Lepisosteus oculatus: one gene and its partners. Each later gene encodes a partner of the first gene's protein in a complex. Links are inferred from orthologs where the notes say so. Each region holds a gene or a part of one and is shown in the gene's direction. Other genes may lie near its edges. The genes, in order: cpsf3, cpsf4 and cpsf2.

Region 1 (6,927 bases):
GATTATTAGGAGGCCATGACTGGTAAAGGCCAGGGGGAAATCTGGCCAGGACGCTGGGGTAACACCCCTACTCTTTTCGAGAAACAGCCTGGGATTTTCAATGCACACAGAGTCAGGACCTCGGTTTTACGTCTCATCTGAAGGACAGCACCTTTTTTACAGCAAAGTGTCCCCGTTACTATGTGGGAATATGTTTTTCTTTGATAAAATCTGTTGCAGTTGATTAATGAAAATATTCACTTTATTCAAGTACAGTTACAATATCAGAAGTATTACCATTATGCAAGATAATTAAATAATTAGCCCCACTAAATAACTGAGAGCTCGGATGGAATAAAAACCAAATGGCCCTTAGAGTATGATGTCTGCCCTAGTCAGTCTGTGGTCAAAGGCGCACTGTAGAAACTAGAAAAGGGCTCCTGGTCTGTCTCACTGTCTCTGCTATTGAGCACCAGGTGTAGACTGCCCAGCCTCTCTGGAAGGATTTGAAGGTTGTGGAGGGCTAGGAGCACCTGCACACAAACACAGTCTAAAAATGTGTCTCCGTTGAGAGCTCATATGTCTGCTAGGTTCTGCGAAAATGAACATCCTACTAGGGCTGCCAGACAGTAAATAAAGAATAAACCGACGCTGTCGGACGTAATGGTTTATCACACTGCTTCCAATTTAAAACTCATCCACTCACATTTGAGCACGAATCACCTGACAGCTGAAATACCTGCTTAACAGTCCCTAGGGAACACTCACAGCATTTTTTAGAAATGTAATAATAGTGTAGACTATTTTGAGTTTTTTTTCCTAATTCATCCTGACTCTTTGCAAAAAGTCGATTGTAACAGTCAACTGTTCACACCACCACTTGTCTTCCATTTAGAGGCAATACGCAAGACTTGTCCTGCCTCTCAATGAAAACAGCTCCTACTGCATGCGGATGCCGTTTGAATTTCCTGTTTCCTATGCTGGAATGTCTCTACATGTTCTTCAACCATTAACATACTGCCTATTACTGTCTCTGCAGGGGTTACAGCCACTACGACCCGACTGACAATCCTACAGCAGCTGTCTGTACGGTCTCCTGAGGCTTTGCGGTCTCCATCTGTCACTCTCCGGTTTCCTCTGCTCGGAGGTTTGACTCGTGTGAATTCGCTTAACATTTCTGAACTGCAAAGGCGTGAGGCCGAGTTTTTTTTCCTGTTGCATCTGACAGGCTTTTAAAACAGTCTTTGTGAGAGAGAAAAGAAAAAGAAGTTCGGGACAATGATATAGGTGCACTCATCTGTCTCGATCTTCCCGCTGAGCTTGCCGATACGAGAAAGAAAACTAGAACAAACGGTCCCAAACATCAAACTGAAGCACTTTAAGTAACAAGAGCCATACTGAGTGGGATGCAATTTTGTACAGCCTCACAATCGGGCTGACATAAATAATCCTACCGCTCTCCCTGCCAAGTCCACTTTCGCACAACTTGCCTACAATGTAACTTTGAAGCCAGCGCGGCGTGAGAAACGCACAGCAGGTGAATGACACACAGCGGGCATCTGAGAGTCGAGCTCACTGAGAATTTCAACCCACCGTCCTCAGATCGTTAATTAAAAAAACTCCCAGCTGAAGTAACGGAAACCCGTTGCCAGGCTAAACTCTCCACCCCACCCACAACCCCCTCATCGCATCCTCGTTTCATTGACATTTCTTTCCAATCACCTTTTAACCGCACAGCCCTTCACCGTAAATCAGAAAACTGGCAGGTCGGACTGATGAGATAATTCAAGCAGCTGTTCAACTCATACCTCGTTTTATACGTGTTTAACGAGCCCGTTCGCGACGGGGCTGGGCGTTATTTCGGCCAGGCTTGTAGTCTCCGGGTCTGTGTTTTTGGCGAGGCTCGGGCAGACACGTCACTTCCTTTGGGCTCCACCCACACCGCTTAAAGGAGACGCGACCCACACAACCCCCCCGGCGAACCGGGCCCGAATCGCGGGTCGTCACGGCGCTGTGTTTGTGTGGTGAAACCCCATTCCTATTCCCGGCGTCGTGTGGCGCAAACGCCAGACAGCAGGAAGTGTGTTTATGTCTCCATGGCGACGGTCACAATTGGAAGGGCGCGCTTCGTTGCTTGTTGTAAGACGGACGAGTCCAAACCCGAGGCTCTCAAATTGAAACTAAGAGCGCTTTATTCTTTGGCACGGCCGATGAATTACAGGGTGGACAGCGAGGCCGGAACAATTAGCACGGCATTTACAGTAGCTCCAGAGATGATGGCGTGAGGCGCAGGTCCTGATTCACGTCACTGTCTCTCAGTGCGTGTTCCCGCTACTACAAACTCGCGGGAATCGCGTCACACTTTAAATCACCGCTTTATCCAACTGAGGGTCGCGGGGCGTGTAGGGCGTAAGGCAGGGTACGACAGCAGAGCACATACGCTCACACCAGGGCTAATTTCCCCAGGAGCCAATTAACCTACTACTACGCTCTGCACAGACAGCACCCCAGGTCTGGGATCGAACCCAGGCCCGCTGGGTGGACGCTGTGAGAACATGCATACTCCCCCCAATAAGGTGACCCAGACCAGATCTAGCCCAGGGTCCAAACGTTTGTGAGGAAGCAACAGTGACCTTCATGGCCCATTCCTGCCCTGACTTTAACATCCCGCCTGCAAGTGATCACAATTAAACTGCTCCAGGTCTTCAGAATTCCCATCTACCCAGATTTTTGGATTACTTAATAGCTATCTGTAAAATCAACAACACAGAGCGCCTAATACCACTTTGAATTCAAGGAAATTGATTTGCAGCCTTTCCATTTTTTATTTTCTGGCGTTTAAACGGATAATGACAGATTCATAGTTTTAATTTTGTTTACAAATTGAAATTCGTTTAAGATAAGTTTAAGCTTCTACTATATGTTGTTGTCTGTGTGTATCAGCGTGTTATTGTTAGCAGGATTGAATACTGATATATTACCAACTAGTTGTCTAACATAAGAAAGATTACAAATGAGGGGAGATCATTCAGTCCATTTAGCTTGTTTGGTAGTTAGTAGCAACTTGATCTAGATTCCAGATGATTTAGTGTGTGGCTTCTACAACATGGCTGGGTAGTTTGTTCCAGACTCCCACAACTCTTTGCGTAAAGTTATGCCTCATGTTCTCAGTTTTAAATGCACCTCCATGTAGTTTCTACTTGTGTCCCCTGGTTCATGTTTCACTGCTCATTCTGAAGAAATCTGCTGGGTTGACTTTGTTGAAGCCTTCGAGAAGCTGGGATACTTGTATCAGGGCCTCTCAGAATTTCGTCCATTTAAGAATAAAAAGGTGCAGGTCTTTCAGTCTGTCAGTGTAGGACATTCCCAGAATGTATCGTGTTGGTCTTCTCTACAGCCAGCCATGTAACGGGAGCAGGGCAGGATACACCCTGGATGCGGAAATCCTAACCACTGCATCACCCTGCCACCCTGCAATTGCAGCTGAAATCTTTTCATTAAAACTGCTGATGCTTCACTGAAAGCTGGCTTATTGAAATTCTGTTCTTCGAGTTTTCAGAACACATCACGTTTAAGTATTAGTAGTACTTAAATAAAAAGGTTACTTTAACAGAGAGCGTTGAGTAAGGAGAGGACATATGTACATTTTGATGTGAATACACCCATCACCGTTGGATTCTATGTCCCAGATAGAAAAATATGTTTCAAGGAATATTTTGCGGTTTATTGAAATACTTAGTGATACTCGAAAAGTCTAAACTGTAGTAATGAAGAACTATACTCTCTAGAGTTTTTATGCAGTAGGTACACACAGACTCACTGCGTGTATTCCGTTAGTAACAATGATGTCGGAACCAAAGATCGATAGGGATAGTTTCAGTAGGGACGTATTTTGCACGCAGAACCGGAAGTTGTCCTGTTTCGCGCAAGTGATTATGAGGCAGAGTGGTGCTCCAAGTTTTTGCTGTTAACATTGTTTCATGACTTATGAAATAGAACTGGTTGTTTAATGGCTGCGAAGCGAAAAGCCGATATTTTGGTACCAGCGGAGGAAAGCGATCAGTTATTAATTAGACCCCTGTAAGTGTGCTGTGGTTTGCGTTTGTGGGTTACAGTGAACAGCCATGAGTGCCTGTGTAATGTGTCGCGGGAGATTCAGTAAGGAGCAGTGCACCGGTATAGAAAGTAGTATGTCCAGTTGTGTAAGAGTATTTCCCACGGAAACTATTAATTTGGTGCAGACGAACGCATACTACATTGTCGGCTACTCGAAATTATTTTTGTGTTGATTTTCATTTATGTATATTTTGTACGTAATACAACGTGTAATTGTATGTAATTGATTGATACAAGTTTTCTAAACATCACAAAGACCCTTATGTACTCTTGATGATTGGGAACAAAAACAGTTCGGATACATTTCATTATACATTGGGGGTTTATCTATACAGGAATCTCAACAGAGAGTTCTTAGGTCTCTTACAGTTTTATTCATTTATTTAGTAGTCTAAAATAAATGTAGACGCAAAGGAAACCAGACTGATGTTCACATCAGTAAAGTTCATTAGTCTTAGTATTATAAGGTATTTGCTTGGACCAGTACAACTCAGTTTTCTGTTGCATATGTGGTTCCAAAATCTATTTTCCAGATGTATATCATTTTAATAGTTTTAAAAAGACAGATTCTCAATAAATAGGGTGTGCAGACTTAACCAAGAGATTAAGAAAGCTTCATTTTACAATGTTTCTCTGGTGCAACAAATCCTAGGTTCCTTACTTAGATTTCTTGAAAAAGAGAACGCACGTTTGAACTTTGTGAACATTATCTATTGGGGGACTTTTAAAGCTGTTATTGTTTTTTTCATGCTAAGCTGCTTTTTACTTTTGAATTCCCTAAAATTGTTCGTTTTGTAAATGCGGTGCATTCTTTGAGTGTACATTGTGCAGGTTTGGAAATTGGAAAAAAAGGAAGGCTCTGCACTTGCTTCATGCAGTTCCTCCTCTCGAGTCTCGAATTAAAGAAGGGTGTTCTGTTTTTCATGGTCCCCTCAGTGGCGCCGGACAGGAAGTGGGAAGATCATGCATCATCTTGGAGTTCAAGGGAAGGAAGATCATGGTAGGACACTGCCTGCTCTGTCTCAGGCTCCCCCTGCGGGGTGGGGCAGACACTCGGTGTCACAGTTCTGTGGCGGGTGGGTGACACCTGGAGAAGAGGTGCCATGCGCTGTCTCTCTTTCCCCAGCTGGACTGTGGTATCCACCCAGGCCTGGAGGGCATGGACGCGCTCCCCTACATCGACTTGATAGACCCCGCGGAGATTGACCTCCTCCTGATCAGCCAGTTTGTACCACCAGCCGCTCCGGTCGCCCTCAGCCCTGGCCCCAGAGCACCCCTTTGTCTTTTAGCCAGTCCTTGCCTTCCTTTAATCGGTCAGGCTAATTCCTAGGAACAGCCACTTCCTGGGTTTCAAGCCCATTTCAGTTCCAGTGTCGAATGTAAACAGTTCAACTTGGGCAGAACACAGAGGTGCAAATATTGCACAGATATTTTCTCTTGTTTTATGGAAAGAGCAAAACTTGTTGGGATGGTCTGATACAGTGTTGTTCCCCTCAACACAGTGTTGTTGACACCTTGAATTAGGCATCTAATAATAAGGGCTTTTTAGATTTGCATAAACACTTAATAGGTTGCTGCCTCTGAATATGCAAGGGGAAGAGAGGGGACAGCACTCTGTCTGCTGTTTTTTTTTTGTAAAAGATCTGCAGAAGAGTATTTTTAAAACTGAAGAATGAGCATAGAAGAAGGTTAAAAAAGTCGGACCAAGCAAGAATTTCATTTACAGATGCCATCAGCGGGTCTTGGGTGGTTAAAGGCTTTGCTGAAGTGAAAACATGATAACACAGGGGAGCTCCAGGACAAGAACTGACAGTCATCCTTCTGCCCAAAGAGACGTGCCCTTATTGAATTAAGACGTGTGCCAGTTCGTTATTGAAACATGCATATTGTGTCTGGTAGTTTCCACCTGGATCACTGTGGCGCTTTGCCCTGGTTCCTGCAGAAGACCAGCTTTAAGGGGAGGACATTCATGACTCACGCCACAAAAGCCATTTACAGGTGGCTGCTGTCAGATTATGTTAAAGTCAGGTGGGTGATTGTTTTTGTTTTTCTTCTTATGACAGGAAACCTCAGCATATTACTGTATGTGGATTGAAAAACGTACAATGTGTTATCAGAGTTTATACCAATAATTCATTGTTAGACTTGGATGGATCCACGTGCGAGATATTGTTAGATGTAGTGTTAGATGTCTGTCATCCTTGTATATTTTTCCTTCATCTCGTTCATCCTGTATGTGACTTCTTTCCTTTCCTGCTATGCAGTAGGGTGACCAGAAAGCTGCTTTTCCAAAGTCAAAAATTGACCTTTTTGCCAAGATTGATGTTTATGTGCCACAGAAATATAAGATCAAAGGGAACATCTGCAAAAACAATGCAGTGTGACTTAATTACCTCAAGATCACTTCAAGTATCCTTTAAATGTCCGATTGCTGTTTCTGTTTAAACACTCCCTGCCTGTTCTCTTTGACCATAGCAACATTTCAGCGGATGACATGCTGTACACAGAGACAGATCTGGAGGAGAGCATGGACAAGATAGAGACGATCAACTTCCACGAAGTGAAGGAGGTCGCAGGCATCAAGTTCTGGTGCTACCACGCGGGCCATGTTCTGGGGGCGGCCATGTTCATGATTGAAATCGCTGGTGTGAAGGTGGGACTTTGCCCTACGCTACACTGCTCTTTAACTGGAGCTGTTCGGTGCGGACGAGATTGTATTTTTGCTCCTGAGCCCTAAACACAGAAAAGCTGTAGTTCTGCTAGAGTAGATATGTGTTTTTAAACATTAAGATATCCTGCATTTTTCTTCAGTCTAGTAATATGATAGACTTA
Region 2 (7,781 bases), on another chromosome or scaffold:
TGTCAGGGATCCCAGTAAGGTCAGTGTTGGATCTACTTTAGTAATGTGCATGGCTGTTTTTCTTACCTGCATATCAGACAACAACTGCAGGCCGTCTTTCTGGGTCCTGCAAGCTATAGCCAGGCTACAGAAAGTATGAGTATTAGCTTCCAGAGCTCTCTCAGACACAACAGATAACAGAGCCTGAAAGAAAAGAATAATTTTAAGAGTTAGAGAAGACCGCATTGAATTATGGCACTTAACACAATGCAGCACAGTACAATGCAGACTCCTCTTTACCTTGGCTCCTTCTAGATCACCCAGTTTAGCCTTTTTCCGAACCCAGGTGTTGAAGAATAAAATGTCTGGTTTTAATCCATGTTCTTCAAAGATGGACAGCAAGCTGGATTCTGACTGGCTTCCAGATTCCACGATGTCAGCTAACAAAGTCAGAGTTCTGATGTCAGGTTTCAGTCCGTGGCCTTTCATCTTGCTAAGAAAACCTTCCATGTTGCCCATCAAGGCCAGCCTGTCAGAAGCACTCCTGACAGACCCAAGGGAAATAATATTTGTGTAATCAATTCTCAGGTCAAGTAGGTTCGGTAGACTCTCACTGGTCACTGAAGACAGGGGGGAAGTAGATTCAATGGGAGTAACATGGTTTCTGTTCACAGGCACCAAGTCTGAAAATACATCTTGGTTCAAGTACTTCTGATTCGGGTTAAGGTCATTTTCCATCACTGGCTTGTCTAACATTTCCTCGTTTAAATGAGCAGTTACATTTCCAACCTGCAGCGATTCCTCTCCCCTCCTAGTACTTGCTTCCAGAAAAAGCTGGCTTTCGAGAGCATCAACATCTAGGGTTGCTGCACATGTCCACTCCTTTCCATTTTTCACCTTCTGACCTCTTCGTCCTCTCGTGACCTTTGGGGTTACTGCCTCTTCATTACTCAGCAGTAGACGGGAAGCCACTGAGGAGTCCCCTATCCCACAATCCCGAGCAGCACGAAGTAGCAGGTTGTAGCTGTGAGAATTAGGTTCTATCCCTACTTTTAGCATCTGACGCCAAACCTGTGGAGCAGATTACAAGAAAATGTGAGACCATTTAGCAACACCATTAAAATGGTTTAATTAAATGTACAGCTTTTAGCATAATGGTGCACAACAATCTAGGAAGTACGGTGCTACCCCAGAGAGACTCAAAAAATGATCGTTTTAAATTTAGAGAATGTTAATATTCTTCAAATTGTACATATCATTCATATCATGTAATTAATCCATTAATAACTCATAAAAGAGCTTTACTATGAATACTCTGTACAATATAAAAATTGTTGTGAAGTTGCTTTTGCAACAGGAAGCTAGGATATTACTTTTGTGATCCGTTTCACATGGGATAGAGCAGTTTGTTGAGATGATCAAATGGAAGTCATTCTCTCTCACCTGCAGTGCAAACCTAAATCCATGCTCTTTATCTTTGAGGCAGCCCATAAGCAGGAAGTTGAAGGTTTCTTGTGTGATCGCATGGCCTTTTTGAACTATCTCCTACAAAGACAACAAATAATATTTCTCGAAGCAGAATAAACTTGTGCCTGACACACTACCAATAACAGCTCTAACCCTAACTGCATCCCTAACTTCACCAAAGATTCAACCTTAGCCTTGGCTACAAATTTAGTCCTAACATTAGAGACAAAACCATCTCCAACTTAAATTCTTCAGCTGAGTTTGGTTTAATGACAAGGCAATGTGCATTGCTTTTGGTAAAGATCAGTTTTGGCCTGACTTTCTGCCAAGTACTACACTATTCTATGAGGGGAAAAAAGCCTTCTAACAAGAGCTATGATCCTGAAGGAGTTGCGTCACCAAAGAGGGATCATACACCCCAAATGGCAGACCTGGTACCTTGAAAACGTGGAAGCAGGCCCTGAGATCAGAGCACAGAGCATGGGTCTTAAGCAGGGCATGGTAAGTGATGAGGTTGAGTGGAATGTTCTTCCTCTTCAGCTCGTGCTGGAGCTTGAGGGCTTGCTGTAGCCCGGAATCCTTCCAGGGAGACTCGGCACAGGCATTGAACAAAGCAGTGTAGGTGGCATCTGTGGGCACCAGGCCTCGCTTCTTCATCTGCACACAAAGACAGACATGCATTTACAGAACTTGCATGGCACCACTCTTCCATAGGCATACTAGACTCCGTAATTAAAGAGGCTGTGCAGTCATCTGGTTTTTCTTCCTCTTAGAGCCCTTAAATAGTCATTTTTTCATTCTAACAGTTTTGCCAGATGTAGGCTACTGATGATTTTAAAATATGCAACTTTCCTTACACACAACCCTTCAGGCGGAGCAGTGGCTCTGTGGCTAAGGATCTGTGCCTGTGACTAGAAGGTTGCCGGTTCAAATCCCGCAGCCGGCAGAGGAATCCTACTCTGTTGGGCCCCTGAGCAAGGCCCTTAACCCCAACTGCTCCAGGGGCGCGGTATAATGGCTGACCTCTGACCCCAAGCTTCTCTCCCTGTCTGTGTGTCTCATGGAGAGCAAGCTGGGGTATGCGAAAAGACGAAATCCTAATGCAAGAAATTGTATAGGGCTAATAAAGCAACATTATCATTATTATTATACACTAAATATTTGGATTTCAAAATGCAATTCTACTACACTTTATTTAGTGTGGATTTCCACAGTGGAAGAATTTATGGGCATACATTCTAGGGCAGAGTCAAATCTCAACAAGTCGGCAAGCTGGACAAGGGTGGAGCTTTTTCACACCCCCTTAACTTACATCATTGTAGAGTTTAAAAGCCTTTTTGAGGTAGCCCACTCGGCCGCAGCCCCCAATCAGCACGGTGTAGTTGTACTCCTCTGGCTCGAGGCGCTCAGCTTTCAGCATCTGCGTCTCAAACATGTCCAGAGCCTCAGCAAGCTGCAGGATGAGGAGAGAATCCTCTTCAGAACAAACCAGGGATTTTCTTTTCCAGACGCACACGACACCAAAACACTGGCGCTTGAGAATCAGGATTAGCACATTTTACAAGAGTTTTTTTTCCTCATAATTATAACCATTATACACAGTCTTTTTCATACTTTAAGCAGTGCTGAAACGCAAACAGTGTAAAACCAGCTCCGGGGACAGGAGTTAATTCATGTGCACACCGAAATAACCTACAGAGTTTGAGACTGCATTCTTTTAAAATCCAGACTGAGAAGCAAAACAACAAATCCGTCTTACCTTGTTCTGCTTCAGGAGCTTCTTACACTGAAGAAAGTACCAGTAAGTGGTGTTTCTTTGCACTGGTCTGGACACCACCTCCTCTTCCTCCTCAGCCCGACTTGCATCTCTGTACTTCAGATCCAGCAGCTCTGGCGACATTTTACGGAAAACTTTCCGGGATCCATAGGATTTGGCAAAAGACCCAAAATCCTTCTCAGCTTGGTCAGACCCCTCTAGTTCCACACATGTGGGCACTGGGTCACTGGTTCTCTCAGACATCGGCGCACTGTTCTGTGTCACCTTAGCACTGTGACAATTCTTCAGGGAGGATGAAACACTGACATTTCTTGACTGTGCAGCCCTGCCTGTCCCCAAAGAATATGTCCTTAAGTGGGGAAGGCGGCCTCCTGGAACCTCTTTACAGGTCAGAATAGACAAGGCAGGGGGGATACTTAGATATTTTGAAATAGAATGAAGACCCGCATTGCAGTGGTTTCTGAAGCACATCAAGGACAGAAGCTTAGACATTCTTAACGTCGGACAACTACACTGAAAGAGAAAAGAAACTATTAGTTATTACCTTACTAAAAAATGGTATCATCGGAGTGTCGAGGTAATAACATGCTGTTTCACTTTAATTGCGTTTTGTGTAAATTAAATACATGAAGTACTGTTCATATGAATACCATATATACTGTTATATCTCTGTGCATACAAAGAATACAATGTCCTTTAAATCCTTCCAAACAAAAATTCGAAAACCATATAAAACTAGACTGTCACAAAGCGGTCGAGTTCAGCAAAGCAACGTGGCTGTCAAGCGATATAAGAAGACTTTTCTGTGCTCAGAGATGTGGTGCGTTTCGAAAATAAATATTTCGAATTACTTTAAACCGTACTATCTTTTATTCCACAACGTTACAAGCAGGACCCACTAAAGCAAACTCCGAAATCCAGTGTGATTTAAGTATTACAAGCCTCTCAAAGACAACAGCAAATTTAAAAGAGACAGTTAAGAAGGAACTAGGTCTTAAGCATCATATGAAAAACGATTTGAAAAACCATTACCTTTGATAAATCTTAGTGCATTTCAGTGTTCCTCTGTCGAGCCCTTCAGATCCTGAGTGTAACAACTAGAAATAGACATAAATACAGCAACCACCATCCACACGAGACAAGGACCTGAAGATCACGGGTAAGGACTACAAAAAGACTCCCGAAATGTCGATATATCGACACACGACAACATTTGATACTTGTATTAATAATTAAACCTAGATGATATTATCATTTTCTCTTATTTTTAAATATCTCTCTCTCTCCTGTTATGTGAAATATTTGTGAAAATATTAATATCCGCGTTATTCAGAATAAAAAAAAACGAAATTATGTTATTTATAGAAATAGTGTAATTCATAGTGTAGTTCGATTCCATAACGCAATCAACTCACATGAAACGAGTTACAATTTAAAGCTGTTATTTGCGCTTCTGCGCAGGGATCGATTAGCCAGGTCTATAGCTAGGTCAGAGTTCAGAGTTCAGAGTTCAGGTCCGGGGTGTTTCGGCGATAGCGAGGCAGCGAATCGGGAAAGGGTGAAGAGAGCCGTGTTTTATATTTGTGTTTTGTCTTATTTCGCGTTTTAATTTTCCGATTGTTTTATTTATTAGTTTTTCACCCCAGTGGTTCGTTCTTCACCACGGATCAAAGATGCAGGAGTTGATCGCCACGGTAGATCATATTAAATTTGATCTGGAGATTGCCGTTGAGCAGCAGCTGGGAGCTCAACCTCTGCCTTTCCCGGGCATGGACAGTGAGTTTGAACTACGGATACTTCCTCGGCGTCTCTGGTCCAGTCCAGAAAGGAATTAAAAAGGATTGCAGGCTGCTACTAACTCTTATTCCCTTGCCAGAAAACACAGTGTAATAGTATGGGCAAAGTGTACTTTTAAATGGATTAAGAGTATATTCAGCTTTTCAATAAAGAGTATTTAAACTCTAATGTTTGATTGTTTATGATTTTCCCTAGAAAAGAAACCCTTCCCGTGCCCCGATTTGTAAATGTAGAATTGAAGTAAAGATTGCAAGCTAACAGTCTCAAGTTTTTATAAATAAATACATTTTATACAATAAACGGAAACGATAATGGTGGAGCCCGTTCCCCTCTATTATACTGGACGAACAATACAGCGGCTATTACATTTTAATTTAAAATGGATATTTTTGATACTCTGGCTAATCGAGCAGGGTAATAGCATCAGCTTGTTGTATTTCGCCTTCAGAGTCCGGTGCCGCTGTGTGCGAGTTCTTCCTGAAAGCTGCCTGTTTAAAAGGTAAAGACACTCACGCCTTCGTCACATTTATTCACAAGACTTTCCTAACATTGACGAGGTCGATTTTTTTGTTTTAGGGGAAATGTTGATGTTGGGGAAGAATTCTTTCACAAGATTCCTAACTTGTTAATGTTGGGGAAGGGCGCCTTCGCGATCATTTTTTTTTTTAAACGTGCAGAAGGTTCCTGGAGACCTGTTGTCATTTTTGTCCTGAAGGTGGGATGTGCCCTTTCCGGCACATCAGCGGAGAGAAGACGGTGGTCTGCAAACACTGGCTGAGAGGGCTCTGCAAGAAGGGGGACCAGTGCGAGTTCCTGCACGAGTATGACATGACTAAGATGCCCGAGTGCTATTTCTACTCCAAATTCGGTAGGTGCCCTGCGCTAGCTAGCGTAGACTGAGCTTTGTGATGCTTGCATTGTGGGGTCTTCTTGTTTACAGACCTGTATTGGAGGAGCAGGGTTCATTTCAGTTAAAATAATACAAGGACCATATCTCCGGGCGGTTGACAGGGGCGAGAGGTGTGCTATATGAGGTTCGAGTAGGGAGCTGCAAAGAAACAGGTAAAGGTTTATTCCATGCTGAAAACAGACGTTTCGGCTGCGAAGCCCTCGTCAGGTGTGCTATATATTTGTTATTTTCACTTTAACGGTGTATTGATCCACTTAAGAAGAAATAATATACCTGTTCCTGCAAGCCAGCCTTGTATGGGATGTAATCTCTGTATGTGTGAGAGAGATGAAGCAAGTTCTTACTTTGCTTGCTTCCCTTTAGACTCCCTCTTAAAAACATCAGATCTGCTTATTGTACGGTCCACGTGAGCAGAGGTAACACACCATTAATGCTTTGAAAACAAAACATCAATGTATGTAAATATAATAAAGGCAAGAATGATTTCCTTCGCTGGAGAGTCTTTGCTGGTTAAACACTACTATAACAATAAGAAACAATAAGAAAACACAGTTAGTGTAAAGTTGTACTTAAAATGATCAGTTAATAGTGAGCAGTGTATATTATTAACCCAGGGAAGCTAACTGTAAATGCACCAGGGACAAGATGTGCAGCGTCTTTGGTTCAGCAGTGACTGAGCTCTCTGGGACTGTAAATCCTTTGGTGCTTGCAGGAGAGTGCAGTAATAAGGAATGCCCATTCCTGCACATTGACCCTGAATCAAAGATTAAAGACTGCCCCTGGTATGACCGAGGATTCTGCAAGCACGGTAAGTATTTTTTTTAAAAACAACACTCTAAACTACTAGACGTTTACCATGAGAAAGAGACTTGACGTTTCACCCAGAACAAATGAGCTGGATTGTGAAGTAAAATGTATTGGTTCAGCCACTTTAAGTCAGAAAGGGATATGTTGACGAGCAAGTTCCAAACTGTACAAAACTGAACCTCTGTAACAATTACTGAACTGCTCGCTAGTCTTGTCAACCATGTCTTCCATCTGACCACTTTACTGTGTTAGTGTCTTAGATTCTTTGGATTCGAGTTGCTCATATTCAGTGGAGGCATAGACTTGTCACCTGGACAGACTGGCTGAAACTGGGAGACACATGTAGCCATGTGGCTCAGAGACTATCAGTGGGATTCCTTCTGCAGTCACAGAATTCTCCTGTTGAAATACCCTTGTGCTCATCATGTGGTCATTCATTCACAGGTCCCCAATGTAGACACAGACACACTCGGAGAGTCATCTGTGTCAACTACCTGGTTGGCTTCTGTCCAGATGGACCCAACTGTAAATTCATGCAGTGAGTACAGACCATTTTTAACAACAGTATTGATCTGGTGTCACAGCTCAGCAAATTGAAATGTGGGAAGGTAAGATAAGATAAGATCACTTCATTAGCCCTATACAATTTCTTGCATTAGGAATTTGTCTTTTCACATACCCCAGCTTGCTCTCCATGAGACACACAGACAGGGAGAGAAGCTTGGGGTCGGAGCGCAGGGTCAGCCATTTATACGGTGGCCCTGGAGCAGTTGGGGTTCACGGCCATGCTCAGGGGCCCAATGGAGTAGGATTGTTCTGCCGGCTGCGGGATTTGAACCGGCAACCTCCCAGTGCAGATCCTTAGCCACAGAGCCACGCCTTGTCCCTGGTGATGCCCACTGTGTCACATTAACATGTTGGTATGTCCATTCACAGAGGCTAAGTTACAGACATGATCAAATACACATTTCCAATTTTACACATTAGCAAACTGATCCTTAAATCGGTATTCAACCTCTGAAACAGCTGTTTAATTGTACTTTA
Region 3 (8,090 bases), on another chromosome or scaffold:
CTCAAGAACTGAGACAGGGCTGCAATGACAAACAGCAATGGCAAGTGATTTCCTTTTCAGTGTGTTGGAAAGGAAACATTTTTCCCCTAAGTTACAACTTAAAACAGTTACAAAATGCATACATAGAAACAAGTTGGTAATAAAATCTTTGACCTTCTAGGTGATTTGTTAAATTGTACTTCTTATGAAAAACATTTTTACCTGACCTGACGAACCTAGGGTGGCAACTGGGGTGGTGCTCCGGTTTCCTCAAAGACTCCAAATATATACTGGGAGGTTCATTGGCTTCTGGGAAAACTGCCCCAGGTGTTAGTGTGTGTCTGTGTGTGTCCTTTAGTGGACGGGTGTCCTGTCTGGGATGTCTTGCCTTCATGTCTCCTCTTGCCTAAGACCCTTTACTTCCCAGGATAGCTTTCAGCTTCCCCCATGATAGTGGTTAGAAAATGAGAGTATGGATGAATTGTTGGATGACAATATGCCAAAAATAAAAGAATTAAAGCTCTTGTTCTAATAGTTAATATTAATTCTAATAAGTCCAACCCTGGTCCTGAAGCGTTTCCATTCAGCAGGTTTTACAGGCAGCCCTTAAATCATCAATTTTTGCTGACCTGAAGCAATTTAACTGCAATCTGTTAAACAGGTGGAACAAAATTCAGAATATTATTCTTCACTCAGAAGACCAGAAGACCTAAATAGATCTGCTTCAACAAGTGTTTCTCTGATCTTTAAATAGCAGGTAATTTAGGGTGTCCTGTAAGGTTAACACAACTGGGGCTCTTCTTGCAAGGAGGGATCTATAGATGTTTGGAACACATTTCTCCAAATTTAGAATTGAAAATCAGCCTCCTAATAAAAGTAAGGACTCGTACAGGAATAGTGTTTTTGTTTAGCAAGAACTGACCAAATAAAATGCGTATTGGCATTTGTTGCGAGTATCCACCTGGATCACCCTGGACTCTTACGGACTTGATTTGAAACAGTTGTTCACTTCGTTGATCTCTATTAGCACTGTTTCTAGGTCTTTATTCACTGAGGATTAAATGTTTCCTGTAAACTCTGGTGAGGTGTGGCCTTCCAGGATCAGGAGTATTACTCTGGCCAAAGATTTGAAACGATCTGAATCTTGACAACATCCAGTCAGGCTTATGGAAATTCACTTTGCCATTTAGCGGCAAGCTGAAAGTCACACAGGCTAATTATAGTGTATGCATCAATACAAGATGAAGCCACATATAGGCTGATGCATGCATGTCTTCATCTTTCCTAATGTTGCAGTAGCTGGTTGCCAATTTCCTAATTTGCCGATTTGTAAATTGACAGGTTTAAACTTGTGTTTTTTTTAAATGCACCAGTACATACAGTAACAAAGATAGAATACTTTTTTCCCCCTCATTCTTATTTCTACTGGAAAAGCATAATCAGATACAAGGTAAGAGCCTCATCATAAACCAAGATGGTTCAGGACTTTGTAAAGGGGAAAATGAATTTCTTATTTGTATTCAACACAGTTTTTCCATGGAAGTATTTAGGTGTGGTTGTTGTGTTCAATATGAGTGCGCACTGTTGCTGGTTTGTCTCGACACCTTGTAAATGTTTCAGCCATTTCAGACTTGTGTTTTTGCATTTTCCTGTAATTCCCTGTTGTCTTACAATGTGCGACTGCGCATCCAGGAAAATGGGTACATTTTTCAGTTGGAGATCCACCATCAAATATTTCTCACCCAAAAGCTTAATTCTGGATGATGAACTGGGTAGGGTCCCTCACTGGAGATTTAGTAACATGAACAAAAGCACTTTTTTGAGGTTCATTTCTTTCAGAAAGGGGTGGGTTCCTGAGCAAAAGTTGTAACTTGTAAATGACTACCACTGTAAATCCCTAATTGCAGGATAATAAAACTAGACTCACTAAACATCTGACTCTGTGTATGGTCTTACAAGTTACTTGGGAACTACAGGATTGAAATGAATGAAAACTGTTATACTGGAACACCAATAAAGAAAAACATTTAACTGTCTCCAAGATAGCTGGAAGGTACATCTATAAACTTCACTTTTTCTTTTAAAAACTTGGGCAGTCTTTGCCAATTGCTGGGATTGAGAGTGGTAAGTAGCGGGTGGTTGGAGCTGCTGCATGAGAGCTCCTGCATCCTGGGAATGATCCCAGTCAAGGTGCAGCTTCTGTGAGGAGTTTGCATAATGAGTTAATACCAGATTCTCCAATTTCACCCATGATACAGAAACATGCTGGCAAGGTTAGTGGGTATCACTAATTTCCTCACATGTGTATGACTGGTCACCTGCCCAGTACCCCGTGCCTCCAGGCTACACAGTCTAATAATGCTTAATTTACATTCAATGGAAATAATCACAAGAATTGTAATAAGTGCCTGAACACAAACGGTACACACTCCTTTCAGATGGCACCATTCATAACATCTTATTCGGTTACAGACATTTCCTTTACATACACACAAACTTAAAAAAGGAAAAACACTTCTAGATTATTTATTTTTTTCCTGCCATTACATGTTATTACAAAACACATCTTCCAAAAAGCCACCACGTGAACAAAAACGCAGAATGTCACATCAGATCAGAAATGAAGGGAAATTCTGGCAAACGTTACATCAACATTTTAGAGGTTTCCGGTTTTGTGTGTTGATAGGAGAGGTTTACTTCCAGGTCACTTCCCCTGGTTTCAGTTCCCTGCAATTACAAGTTAAGAGCATCTTAATGAACCTTTCTAGCACATTTACTCACACTACATTCCTCAGACTGGTTTTAGTTTTGTCTTAAGGCAATCACATTTTTGCAAAGTGAAAGATTTATTGGCATCGGCAATGAATAACAGTGGTGATAAAGTAATAAGAAAAAAAAAATGCATTTTCATACCCGAGGACTTTGAGGAGCATAGTATAAGGTTGTGGGGAAAAAAAAATTATGAAAATCCAGGCAGGCTACCTATGTCCACATACATGTAGAAAGAAGAATTATTTAAAGGCTGCAATAATATTTAGTGTTATTGTAACCGAGATGATATCCCCTCTTTTCTCTTCATGAAACCTTCCCTTTCTCTTTGTGCTGACTCACCAGGGGGGATCACTCTCTGTGCCTCAGACTGGTGATCACATACTTTGCAAACTCTGTTCTTTACAAAACTAGCTTGAGAAAAATTTTTTTCAATAGTTCTGGACTTCTTAACTAATAAAGAGAACAGCTTTGAAGCAAGTACAAATTCTAAAAATCTAGTTTCAATATCACAATTTCATACTTTTCAATTGTTAAATGTGTAACTTTTCAAATGTTAGACAAAGACCTGTTTTTTGAATACTCTATACTGGGGAACACTAATTTTTCCAGAATGCTGCCTGAGTAAGGCACTGATTTCTGTCCTCTAAATCCCCTTAAGTCAGGATTGTAATTTGCTTATGAAATCTGAAGGGTTATGATATTCCATGACCAAGATGAATATAGTATTCTGCTTCTATATTGTAAAAGCAAAGGCACACCATGCGACCAATCAATGAAACCAACCTCTTGTACAACATGCTCTTGTTTCTAAAAGCTGTGAGTTTCTCATCATTCCTTCTGTCCATATAAATCCCAATCACAAAGCCAAGGGGGACGAGAACGTTGACCCAGTGCTCTCGTAACATATTCACCAAGTTCACCATGGTGCCTAGGAGACAAAATGCTCATTTGTGTTACAATCTAACAAAAGGTAGAGGTCAAATGGCTACTCAATGTAAAAGATGCTCAAATACAATTTTTACATCTGATAAATGCCTGTATTCTGAGAACCACGATCAAGCACATTGCTCCTGGCTCTTCTGCTCTGGCTTGTAGACAATGGCCAAATGCCACTGCTGAATTTCCAGTACAGCAGATTTTAGTCTTCTACTGCACAACACTGATGAAATACACCTGACTGAACATCTGCAGACACACAGAATGCGCAGTTATAATCTTGTCATTAATTGCAACCTACAACAACATCTTGGAAATATCAGAGGGTTCAATCAACACGGAAACTTACAAGCAAATTCTAGCAATTTAAACTTTTCACACTGTGTAGCTATTTGGCCTATAATAACAATTTAACTGTTCAGAACTGCATCACGCATAAAGTGGTATCTGACAGACATGAGCCTCCTGTGCCAAATTTATCATGCAGAATAGTGGAACAAATCTTATATAAAATTGTTAACATTTCGCACTTAATGTCCTATGAAAAATATCTTCTGTGCAGATCGATTCGGCTTCAAAAATACTGGTGAGATAACTTTTAATAACTATACTTAAAGATTCGAAAATATTGATATCCAAGTTTATGATGTCAAGCCAAAGCAAATTCTTAAACTGTCTCGTTTAATGAAGAAAACAGCTTTCTGATAAACACTAGTGATTAGATCATTAATGCATTACATTACAGCAACATTGTATTCGGACAGCGCTGAACACTCAGATCCTCAAGGAAACATCTGACTGGTTAATTTCTTTTAAACAATATTAAAATAACATTTCATATTTACGACGACATGTCAATAGCACTTTAATCGAAATAAGAGCAAAAGGTAAAACTAACTAAGCTAACAAATATGAATGAACTCTTTTACCTTCTGTATGGATTTTGATGTTCAGGCTTTTTATAAGACAAATATATAAGCTAGTAAAATAGAATCGTTAGATTTTAATTATTGTCAGTAAAAGGTCCTATAAGATTATCAGACAAAACAGTCTTTAAAACATAGGTTATACAATTAATGCGTTTTTCTCAGTTTCGCATTTTAACAATATATATACAACTCATACCTTCCCCTAGGTCAACCGAAGGCAGGCCCGACTAAGAGGACATTGGATTGAACCACTTTCTTAAAATGCGGGAAGAGTAAAGCCGTGAATGGGAATACTTACTACTTAAGTAATTTAAAAAGCAACAGAGATCATAACATATACATTGTAAATTATTATTGCTTTACATTTGTTTGCATAAATAACCGTGCCACCGATTTTTACCGAGAATATCTTGAAGTAAAAACCACCAAATCTGCAATGGTATATCCGGATAACCTTTCACCTCTATTTTAGTTTGCAATGGCCGCTTTGTGAGAGCCGGGTGTGTGGCTCATTGTACGCGTTTAAAATTATGTAATCTAAACATATATTTCATCGGTAAAAACCAGAATGTAAAGGTTAAACTTTGTGTTTATGAAGTGTTTTTATGGTATGTTTATATCAAATTTCGAAGGGTACATTTTAAGGTGTGTGGCCTGTCGTGATTGTTTATAGTTTTGCCCGTAATAACCATAAGCTTGTTATTGTCAGTATTTTTATTTGATCGTTCCCTATCTAATCAATTATTTTGATCTAATTGTCCCCCTTGCTACAGTAAGCAAGCCGCCACACTGAACCGAAACCAACTTTAAAAAAACAAGTTTATGGTGATTTCACAGAATGCAGTTCGGTCGTCTAATTGTTGTGTGTCGCTGTTTAATGTGGTCTTATGACGGTGTGGTATAACTTTAGAAATATTGCGATATTTACCTCGTTGTAAAATATGAAATTTAGTCTAATGCACAGCTACAGTGACAACGTATTACTCAACGAAGCGAAATGTTCGCAACTGAAGCCAAACATTTAGATAAAACAATTCCGCGGTGTATCGTCACAACTCTGCCTAAATATTTTCTCCTGGTTGATATTTTAAGGGAATAGGAAGTATTATAGAGTTCATATTTTGAGTTGTATATCGGTGTTAGTGTTTCCGATCAAATGAAAATGATAACACATGTTCATATATTAATTTTTTCGTTTGTAAATTCTTCCCCTATTATTTCCATAAGTGTGGCTCTGACCTAATATGTTTATTATCCTACAGTGTGCCAAGTGTTGCTAGCATAAAGCAAAATGACCTCCATCATCAAGCTGACGGCGATTTCAGGGGTGCAGGAAGAGTCGGCGCTGTGTTACCTGCTTCAGGTCGACGAGTTCCGCTTCTTGCTGGACTGCGGGTGGGATGAGAATTTCTCCATGGATATAATCGACGCAATGAAAAGGTCTGTTTACAGTATAACCTTACTTAATGGATAGATTCAGCTGTGTTGCTTATACAGCAGAACTGTGCGCTGACGACAAATTCTGCGCCGTGAACATCAGCCAGTGACATTTAACTAAGATCTGTAAGGATTTAAGTTTGTTTAATTTTTTTATTGCAGGCATGTCCATCAGGTTGATGCAGTGCTTCTCTCCCATCCTGATCCTCTTCACCTGGGGGCTCTTCCTTATGCTGTGGGGAAGCTGGGGCTGAACTGCACAATTTATGCTACCATCCCTGTGTACAAAATGGGACAGATGTTTATGTATGACTTGTATCAGGTAATGGAGACTTGTATCTCTTTTTGTCAGTAATAATTGAGTTATGAAGAGTCATGACGTATGTTTATTCATGCATTGAAAACATGACTTGTTGCTGCAAGATGCAAAACACTAGAAGATATTCTTCATTTAAATTACCAGGAGGCAATTATTTGGATTTGTTTAGGAAGTAATCCATTTTTACTATGATGTAGTTGCTGGAATTTATGTTTTGCTATGTACAATGATTCTTGTCAGTGATTTGTACACATGATACTTATTGAGGGGTGGCACAGTAGAATTTGATGCCTTAACATACATCCACTGCCCTTTCACTGGCTCCATATAAAAGAAGCATGTTTTATAGTCAGATAATATCCTGCCATGCATTTTCTAACTGCTTCATCCAATACACGGTTGCCGGGGAAACCAGACCATATCCTAGCAGGCAATGGGCACAAGGTGGGGTACATCCTGGATATGATGCCATTCCGTTGCAGGATGCACACAGACATGTGTACACTTACAGATAGGGCCAATTTTTCCCTGAAGCCACTAAACTTACCAGTATTTCTTTGGACTGTGGTAGGAAAACCACATGAACATGAGGAGAACATATAAACTCCACCCCTATGCTATCCACTTCACCCCTGTGCTGCACGCTATCATATATTGTGTGCTTATTCATAATGTATGATCTGATGTGTAATGTTATACACTTGTTATTTTTCATTTTGTTTTCTAAATGTCTGTCCTGGAAAATTACATATGAATGTTCTCAGGTGTTGTAGTGTTTGATGACCAGTGTCCATTTGTACCTAATGCTGGCAGTGGAGCTGAAGGCCATCTTGTCCAGTGTAACTCGCAGTTTCAAAACAGCAGCATTGTTTTAAGTGTAGTTAACCTGTAGAGGATTGTTGAGCACTTGGAACAGTGCACAATGTTGTTGTTTCTTAACAGCAGTTGTTGTATTTTTTCTTAGTCTCGTCATAACACTGAGGATTTCACCTTGTTCACCCTGGATGATGTGGACTCAGCCTTTGACAAAATACAACAGTTGAAGTATTCACAGATTGTCAATCTGAAAGGTACAAATCCTGCAGTAAACCAAATAATACAGATACATTTACAGATAATTTTACTTTTAACTCTTATTCTTAGGGGCCCCCTTAGAAAAATGTCTAGATATTACTAGTAAGGTCTTAGGTTCTACATATTTATTATAAACTCCTGATTTAATTTGACTGTTTCTCATTTTGAGGTTGCACATAGACTTGTTAGAAATAAGACAGATTTGCTTTGTCCAGTAGGTTTTCTTTGTTGGGGTGCTCAGGCATTTCACCTCACTTCTGTTTAATCAGCCCTTTTAAGTTGACCTTTTTAGTTGAACAGCTTTAACTATATATTTTTTTGTTATTGGTTTACAGGTTTGGAAACTTTTAATCAAATTAGGAATGGTACAAATTCTCTTACCATTGCTTGCTTGTCAGGCATAATAAGGGACTCCAAAAATATTGTAAATCAATAAATACATGTTATAAAAAGACCAATTATACAATTCATGAATCATATTGTTACAAATGGGGGGTTACGGAATTGACAGAGGTTTAGTCAGTAAGTAAAATAATAATTCTCAACTTCTAAGTGATTTCACCAGAATATACCTGAGTGGTTGGTATAATTGGAGTGAATTCTTTATTCTCTGACACAGCTTTGGTGAAAGGAGAAATGATCTA

The links.
Region 2: cpsf3 (region 1) and cpsf4 share a complex: the UniProt entries of both Homo sapiens proteins name them as parts of the cleavage and polyadenylation specificity factor (CPSF) complex. The link is inferred for Lepisosteus oculatus from reciprocal best matches to the Homo sapiens genes CPSF3 and CPSF4.
Region 3: cpsf3 (region 1) and cpsf2 share a complex: the UniProt entries of both Homo sapiens proteins name them as parts of the cleavage and polyadenylation specificity factor (CPSF) complex. The link is inferred for Lepisosteus oculatus from reciprocal best matches to the Homo sapiens genes CPSF3 and CPSF2.

Annotation. Positions count from the first base shown.
Region 1 is NC_090697.1:12,017,335-12,024,261, reverse strand, and holds the start of cpsf3 (cleavage and polyadenylation specificity factor subunit 3), read left to right. Parts: upstream 1-3,882; 5' UTR 3,883-3,988; coding exon 3,989-4,059; intron 4,060-5,031; coding exon 5,032-5,095; intron 5,096-5,221; coding exon 5,222-5,319; intron 5,320-5,994; coding exon 5,995-6,123; intron 6,124-6,570; coding exon 6,571-6,748; intron 6,749-6,927. UniProt on the Homo sapiens protein: Component of the cleavage and polyadenylation specificity factor (CPSF) complex that plays a key role in pre-mRNA 3'-end formation, recognizing the AAUAAA signal sequence and interacting with poly(A) polymerase and other factors to bring about cleavage and poly(A) addition.
Region 2 is NC_090714.1:10,876,056-10,883,836, reverse strand, and holds the start of cpsf4 (cleavage and polyadenylation specificity factor subunit 4), read left to right. Parts: upstream 1-4,726; 5' UTR 4,727-4,896; coding exon 4,897-4,999; intron 5,000-5,468; coding exon 5,469-5,519; intron 5,520-5,735; coding exon 5,736-5,888; intron 5,889-6,642; coding exon 6,643-6,738; intron 6,739-7,181; coding exon 7,182-7,275; intron 7,276-7,781. Other genes in the region: ptcd1 (pentatricopeptide repeat-containing protein 1, mitochondrial), read right to left, coding at 67-183, 280-1,050, 1,423-1,524, 1,885-2,103, 2,759-2,899, 3,206-3,715. UniProt on the Homo sapiens protein: Component of the cleavage and polyadenylation specificity factor (CPSF) complex that play a key role in pre-mRNA 3'-end formation, recognizing the AAUAAA signal sequence and interacting with poly(A) polymerase and other factors to bring about cleavage and poly(A) addition.
Region 3 is NC_090703.1:23,280,260-23,288,349, forward strand, and holds the start of cpsf2 (cleavage and polyadenylation specificity factor subunit 2), read left to right. Parts: upstream 1-5,077; 5' UTR 5,078-5,261; intron 5,262-5,490; exon of another isoform or gene 5,491-5,509; intron 5,510-5,878; 5' UTR 5,879-5,907; coding exon 5,908-6,056; intron 6,057-6,215; coding exon 6,216-6,375; intron 6,376-7,336; coding exon 7,337-7,442; intron 7,443-8,090. Other genes in the region: NADH dehydrogenase [ubiquinone] 1 beta subcomplex subunit 1, read right to left, coding at 2,673-2,706, 3,535-3,679, 3,774-3,816. UniProt on the Homo sapiens protein: Component of the cleavage and polyadenylation specificity factor (CPSF) complex that play a key role in pre-mRNA 3'-end formation, recognizing the AAUAAA signal sequence and interacting with poly(A) polymerase and other factors to bring about cleavage and poly(A) addition.